Linked DNA regions of Arabidopsis thaliana. Each later gene encodes a partner of the first gene's protein in a complex. Each region holds a gene or a part of one and is shown in the gene's direction. Other genes may lie near its edges.

What was found. Proteins that work in one complex are often made in the same cells at the same time.
Region 2: EMB3126 (region 1) and RPL9 share a complex: the UniProt entries of both Arabidopsis thaliana proteins name them as parts of the 50S ribosomal subunit.

What each region holds. Positions count from the first base shown.
Region 1 is NC_003074.8:23,442,149-23,445,901, forward strand, and holds the start of EMB3126 (Ribosomal protein L1p/L10e family), read left to right. Parts: upstream 1-2,054; 5' UTR 2,055-2,120; coding exon 2,121-2,450; intron 2,451-2,524; coding exon 2,525-2,704; intron 2,705-2,796; coding exon 2,797-2,851; exon of another isoform or gene 2,852-3,112; coding exon 3,113-3,240; intron 3,241-3,367; coding exon 3,368-3,451; intron 3,452-3,520; coding exon 3,521-3,646; intron 3,647-3,734; coding exon 3,735-3,753. Other genes in the region: AT3G63480 (ATP binding microtubule motor family protein), read right to left, coding at 66-141, 295-328, 412-453, 530-623, 696-721, 804-926, 1,014-1,043, 1,150-1,193 and 2 more. UniProt on the Arabidopsis thaliana protein: This protein binds directly to 23S ribosomal RNA.
Region 2 is NC_003074.8:16,384,517-16,388,269, forward strand, and holds the start of RPL9 (ribosomal protein L9), read left to right. Parts: upstream 1-1,878; 5' UTR 1,879-1,988; coding exon 1,989-2,141; intron 2,142-2,475; coding exon 2,476-2,603; intron 2,604-2,759; coding exon 2,760-2,805; intron 2,806-2,946; coding exon 2,947-3,044; intron 3,045-3,127; coding exon 3,128-3,175; intron 3,176-3,326; coding exon 3,327-3,447; 3' UTR 3,448-3,483; intron 3,484-3,731; 3' UTR 3,732-3,753. Other genes in the region: ACD1 (Pheophorbide a oxygenase family protein with Rieske 2Fe-2S domain-containing protein), read left to right, coding at 59-294, 389-515, 604-740, 824-983, 1,056-1,340, 1,434-1,688. UniProt on the Arabidopsis thaliana protein: Binds to the 23S rRNA.

The sequences.
Region 1 (3,753 bases):
GATATGTATATAAGCTCCACCACTACAGCATCACTTTTTTCTGATTAATTGTAAAAAATCGTTACCTTTTATCTTTAACTGAATCCTGCTGGATTGTGAACAAGTAGGCGCAGTGGCTTCTACTGCTGGACATATTCATTTCTGTCATTCATTGTTAAACTGGAAACATTCTTCAAGATGACTCTCAATCAGTTTTAACCTTTCAGTCAACTCGGAGTAGCATAATCATAATCTCACTATCGACTAAATGGGGAAACATTGAACAAGTAAGTGCTGTAAAAGCTAAGAGGATACGGGTTTCCCCAACTGCGCGGTTAGCTAAACCGGTCTGAAATGGCAATTGGCATCAGAAATAAGAAAGAAGAAGGCCGTATAAGGCAATTAAGAAACTTAGGGTAGCTGCTATCTTACGCATAGATGTTGTAATGCCTCCACCGAATCTGATACAGGCACCTGAAGCAACGAATGATTAAAACTTGCCTACCCAGTAAAGATTTTTCTCAACACTAGCAAATAGAAGATATAAGACAATGAAGCTAGCCTCTGTAACGCCTGACAAGAGTATTCCTTGTGTTTTGTTCTCCTTGATCTGTATGTTTGCTTTTGATAAGTCCAACAGGTCCCTGAGAGATATATGAATTTATCGATAAGCTATATACCCTAGAAGAAATCAGAGGGAATTACATACACAATACCTGACTTTCTCCATGTAGATCTCAACCTAGAGGAGACAAAAGACACGTAAGATGTCTATACAGGAGAGCTTGAAAGGAGACTTATAGCAAGTGCATTTAAGTCAGTACCATAGACAATTTAACAGTGTATCTTGCAATATCATTGGAAGAGCTGATTTGCTCAAACATCCCATGGACCACTCTTGGAAGAAGTCCTTTATTGTGCTCATCACAGTCCTGGATGCCTGGTCCCTGAATCAATCGAAGAAAACCAAAATGAGCCAGAAGAAGGAATGGTCCTTGTGCTACAGGAAGAGGTATCAAGATGAGTTAGGTGACCTCCATGGAATAAGTCTTCCCAGCCCCTGTCTGCATAGTATAACATGAAACGATCAAATTGAGATCAAAATCTGCCAAATTAAGAAAAAGACATTGAAAGCATTTCCAGATAAAAGAGATCAGGAGAAGAACAAACCTGTCCATAAGTGATGATTGTTCCGTTTATACCATTTACAGCGTCTGAAAGTAGTAGTAGTAGTACAAAGGTAAAAGATGCAAAAGACAAAGGTAGGAGGAAACCAAAACCAAAAATGTTGATTACATTGTAAAATCATAAGATTGGTGCTCAAATGTTTAGATCTAAAATCCAGAAGAGAAGATCAAGGAATCAATTAGTACCTCTCATGATGGGGAGAGCCAGAAACTCATAAACCGCAGCTTGGGTAGAGTCCTCATAAAAAACTCTATCGAGGCTAAATGTAAATTCATCTTCCTTGTCATCCTACACGCAAGTAAAAACGCTAGATAGAGTTTGAGAGACAGAGAGAGAGAGACAATATTAATCAAGCACACGGCGTCGAGTAGACAAACTTGGAAAACGAAGGTTTCAGCGTCGATGGGTCGAGCACAGACACCATCTCTGCTGGGATCGCGCATCTCTTTAGAGCTTCGCGGCCTGAATCGCGCACAGACGGTTACGTTAGACATCTCCTCTCCTTATCGGAACGAGCTCAGTCTACAGTGAAACACCCAAAATGAGTCAGCAGAAGATGAATGAAATTGGGGAAATAGTAGCACAGGAAATTTGAAGCTGAGAGAAAAGGAATCGGAACTTACCTCTCAAATGGAGTGGAGAGTCAGAGTAGGGTTTCTCTTACGGGCGGGAAAGAAGAAACTCGAAATCTGATTTTTGAGAAAAGAGAAGGAAGAAGAAGAAGGAGAAGGAGAAGAGGTCACGAGGATACGCGTGTGGGTTGTTAAAAGATCTAATGGTCCATAAGAAGACACGTGTCACTAGGAACACGGTAGCTAAGGTGCCCGCCACGCAGAGAATAATAGCTTAGAAAGAATAGGGGGTGTTGTTATCCCCTTGGGCGTGGAGTGGATTAGGGAGACTCGCACTCTTCTTCTTCTTCTTTGTACCCAGAAAGAAAGAGAGCTCCAACAATGGCTGCTTGCGCTACTCACTCCTCTCTCATGCTAGCATACGCCGCCGCATCCACTCGTTCCCAGGACCTTACCCCTACTCCATCTCTTTTCTCTTTTGCCAGCTCCAGACCCAACCACTTGAGCTTCCCGCTTCTTCTCCTTGGGGGTTCCAGGGACCGGAGATGTGCTGCTATTGACAGAGCTTCCAACCACAAGTTTATTGTCTCCGCCGTGGCCGCTGAGGCTGACCTCGACACGGAGGAGGACCTGGAGCAGACCGCCACCGCCGTCCTTGATCCGCCCAAGCCTAAGAAAGGAAAAGCCGCTTTGGTTCTCAAGAGAGATAGAGTATGTGCTTTACCTACTTCAATTTCGCTTCCTTTACTCGTGAATCATCACTTTGTTTGCTTACCCATTGACAGACAAGGTCTAAGAGGTTTTTGGAAATCCAAAAGCTAAGGGAAACCAAAAAGGAGTATGATGTCAACACTGCTATCTCTTTGCTTAAACAAACTGCCAACACAAGGTTTGTTGAGTCTGTTGAAGCCCATTTCCGTCTCAACATCGATCCTAAGTACAATGACCAGCAGCTGCGTGCAACGGTCTGCTTTGCCTTTTGCTGGATATACACTCTATCTTGTGCTGCTTCATTCCACAACATTTTTTAATCTCAATGCATTGTCTTTTTGTATAGGTGAGCCTGCCTAAGGGAACTGGCCAGACTGTTATAGTCGCTGTTCTTGCACAAGGTATATTGCCCCACCAAATTCACTGCTAGGACTTAGGACAGAGATTATGCTTTACCATTTCAGTCACCAAATTCACTGTTAGGACTTAGGACAGAGATAATGTTTACGGTATCAGTCAGTCAGTCAGTACTTCTCTAGATGCAACATTGTTTGGTGCGATTGACTTTTTATTTATATATTGATTGGATGGAGTTCTTGTGTATCATGTGGCTTATTCTTTCTAAATCTTTGGCTTGCACCATTTCCATGCTGAACTTCCAGGTGAGAAGGTTGATGAAGCCAAAAGTGCAGGGGCAGATATTGTGGGCAGTGATGATTTAATCGAACAGATTAAAGGAGGCTTCATGGAGTTTGACAAGCTGATTGCATCCCCGGATATGATGGTCAAGGTATGTGTTGATGATATAATGTTCTACTTGTTACAGCATATGAAACCGTCATGCTTGGCAAATAAGGTGGCATGAGATACTTGTAACTCGTGATCTATTTTCTAACATTCTTGAACTTGGCGCTTAGGTTGCTGGCCTGGGAAAGATTCTTGGACCACGGGGGCTCATGCCAAATCCCAAGGCTGGTACAGTCACAGCGAACATTCCCCAGGTAAGCCTACTCTGCAACATCTTTTCCTGATTCTGGTAGTCATGGCTTAAAGATGCATAAATCTCTCAGGCTATTGAAGAGTTCAAGAAGGGGAAAGTTGAATTCAGAGCAGACAAAACTGGGATTGTTCACATTCCATTTGGGAAAGTTAATTTTACAGAGGAAGACCTTCTCATAAACTTCCTTGCAGCAGTGGTAGGCTAATTCTCCATTCTTATTACGTATTTCTGTGGTTTAAAATACAAAAAAAAATGAAGAGGGAAAAGTAAATGATGAAATGCAGAAATCGGTGGAGACAAACA
Region 2 (3,753 bases), 7.1 Mb from region 1:
TTTTGAGCTTGACTCATTGATGTGTTTGTGTATGTGTTGATGCATTGTGGTTATGTAGGAAGGAAGGTTGGATGAGAATGGACACTTGCAATGTTCGTATCATGGATGGTCATTTGGTGGGTGTGGATCTTGCACTAGGATTCCTCAGGCTGCTACTTCAGGTCCTGAAGCTCGTGCTGTTAAATCCCCGAGAGCTTGTGCTATTAAGTTCCCGACAATGGTGTCTCAAGGTCTTCTCTTTGTGTGGCCTGATGAAAATGGTTGGGATAGAGCCAATTCAATTGAACCCCCTAGGTAACGAAAATGATTATCTTCTCAGGCTTCCATGAACATAGCATACTCGTTTTATTACTCGTTTTATTAAATGCGTTGATCTTTAACATAAAAGGTTGCCGGATGATTTCGATAAACCGGAATTTTCGACGGTGACAATTCAAAGGGATCTTTTCTATGGATATGATACTCTCATGGAAAATGTATCTGATCCTTCCCATATAGATTTTGCTCATCACAAGGTGTTGTTTTCTTTCTCAAAGCTCCCAATGTGTTTGCATTTCCACTAAGGGATATTATCCTCAGGCGATGATTACGTGTTGTAAACAGGTTACAGGAAGAAGAGACAGAGCCAAACCATTGCCGTTCAAGGTGGAGTCAAGTGGGCCTTGGGGTTTCCAAGGTGCGAATGATGACAGTCCAAGGATAACCGCAAAATTTGTTGCTCCGTGCTATTCTATGAACAAGTGAGTGTTGAGTTTGCTCACTATACATAATAAATGGTTAGCATACAGTTGCATAGAATGAAATTGTGTATCCTTGTCTACAGAATTGAGTTAGATGCGAAACTACCAATCGTCGGTAATCAAAAATGGGTCATTTGGATTTGCTCATTCAATATACCAATGGCTCCAGGAAAGACCCGTTCCATCGTTTGCAGCGCCCGTAACTTCTTTCAGTTCTCTGTACCAGGACCAGCTTGGTGGCAGGTAAAACAAACTTTGATTCCATCTCTAATCCGATTTTACTACGTAAATTCTTCTGAAGCTGTTCCTTGTTAGGTTGTACCAAGATGGTATGAACACTGGACTTCGAACTTAGTCTATGACGGAGACATGATCGTACTTCAAGGACAAGAGAAAGTATTCCTCGCTAAATCAATGGAGTCACCAGACTACGACGTGAACAAACAGTACACAAAGCTCACATTCACTCCAACCCAGGCAGACCGTTTTGTTCTAGCATTCAGAAACTGGCTCAGACGGCATGGTAAGAGTCAGCCTGAATGGTTCGGCTCCACCCCGTCTAACCAACCTCTCCCTTCCACTGTCTTAACCAAGCGTCAGGTGAGCCATCAATCATGCATCCTAACATCATTTGATTGATCTCTATATATATACAAACACATGTCTGAAAACGTGACAAATTTGAACAAACAGATGCTAGATAGATTTGATCAGCATACACAAGTATGCTCTTCCTGCAAAGGAGCTTACAACAGTTTCCAAATCCTCAAGAAGTTTCTCGTTGGCGCGACGGTTTTCTGGGCCGCCACGGCTGGTGTTCCTTCTGATGTTCAGATTCGACTGGTTCTTGCTGGTTTATCACTGATATCAGCTGCTTCTGCATATGCTTTACATGAACAAGAGAAGAACTTTGTGTTTAGAGATTATGTACATTCTGAAATCGAGTAGATTTGTTGTGTATATGTATAATCATCATACAAAGTACAAACATTGTAAATCAAAATCCAGAGGAACTTTTAGCACTATAAAACCGATTTAACCGTTAAATTTTGGGTACTCAATTGAACTTTATAAAACTTTTAAGTAAGAAAACAGAAAAGTAGAATAATTACGGGGTCAAATTCGAAACATAAGAAAAACATTCGTCACTTCACTTGAGCAAGCACACGAAAAGCCGATAAGAAGATAACAATTACTACAACTGTGCGCTCTTGTTATCTCTGCTTTGAAGTGAAATCAGCTTTGGCTATGGCTTCTTCGACAGCTTTGTCTCTCTCATGGAGCTCCTCTCCTTGTTGGTCACACAGCTTCAATGGCGGTGCAAATGAAACCCTAAAAGTATCTGAGCGAAGGTTCAATTTTGAAGTTGTTTCCCAGAAGAAAGCTAAGAAACTTCGCAAGGTAAAAGTCATTACCTTTCATGGGTTTCCTTCAAAAATTTGATTTGGCTTTTAGTTAGTTTTTGATTTGAGCTTGTGTTTCTGAAGAATTTTGGTGGAGATGAAAGTAAAAGACTTGAAGATGCTTAATTTATGGGTTTAGTGTAAAAACATCGTCTTTGTTCTTGTATCAGCGTAGTTAGGAAGAAAGATGAATCAACATTAGAAAAGTAGACGCCTTTATATTACCAGTTTAGTTTCAAGTAGTGAAGATAAATTGGTTTGAAGCTTTGTTTCTGTGTAGAGAAATGGAGTAAGTGAAACACTAATGGTAAATCTTGTTTTGTGTCTTTAAGGTAATTTTGAAAGAGGATGTGACGGATTTGGGTAAGCAAGGGCAATTACTTGATGTGAAAGCTGGATTTTTCAGAAACTTCCTCTTGCCTACTGGAAAGGCTCAGCTTATGACTCCACTTCTGCTCAAGTAATTCACCTCAACTTCGAAATTTCCGTTCGCTTTTGTATGCTCTTACTATTCGGTTCTAAGGCCTTTGTATTTCGAGGGACTTTGCTACAATGTTGTAAGATCAACAAGAAAAACATCATTTTCTTTCTTTTTGTGTGTGTGTTTTTCCCCCAGGGAATTGAAGATGGAAGACGAACGGATTGAGGCAGAGAAGCAAAGGGTAATCTGATATGAATACATTGATTGTTTTTATTTGATCATCATGTAAAGTTTTGGTGTTTGAGTGATCACCAAAAAACTCTTTGGTTATTGATTTTCATCTGTTTGTTGGTTTTTTCTTTGCGTGGAACCTTTTTTGCAGGTGAAAGAAGAGGCACAACAACTGGCGATGGTATTCCAAACCGTTGGTGCTTTCAAGGTTAAACGCAAAGGCGGTAAAGGCAAACTGATATTTGGATCGTAAGTCCTACTTAAGCAAATCTAGATTTTAACAGTCTTGAGAATAGTGTTTAGCCTGTACTTAACTTTATATTTTCCTGCAGTGTCACAGCTCAAGACCTCGTCGACATCATCAAATCACAGCTCCAAAAGTAACAACATAGAAAATTTTACATTTCCACATAAAAAGCTACAAGCTTTCTCATGTGGGCGGTTTAGTTGGATCAGTCTACATTTGGTTTTTAGTGTTGTTCGAAGAACCTAATATGGTTTTATCTGCTTCTCTGTGGCTGTGTTTTGCAGGGACATCGACAAACGCCTTGTCTCTCTCCCAGAAATCCGTGAAACCGGAGAATACATAGCCGAACTCAAGCTTCACCCCGATGTCACTGCTCGAGTTAAGATCAATGTTTTCGCTAACTAAACCTTCAACGATTCAAGACTCCTACTGCATCCCAAGGTATTTCTTGATTTTCCATGATCATGTGGCTTTTAACCATAAATGAAACTAAGTATTAGTTTTGTCTTAGTTCGTGTCTTAATTGGCATGAAATAAGTAGTTAAACCGATGTTCTGAACTCTGAACATCGGCATATAAACATTGGTCGGGAATATTGGCTGTTGAACGGAGTTTTGCGTTTTAAGGTCTAGCCGCAAACGCAGATGCTAATTGTCCATCGCACTGTGTTTGGTGTTTTGAACTTGCAGGAACGTATAGAGAGGGAAAAGA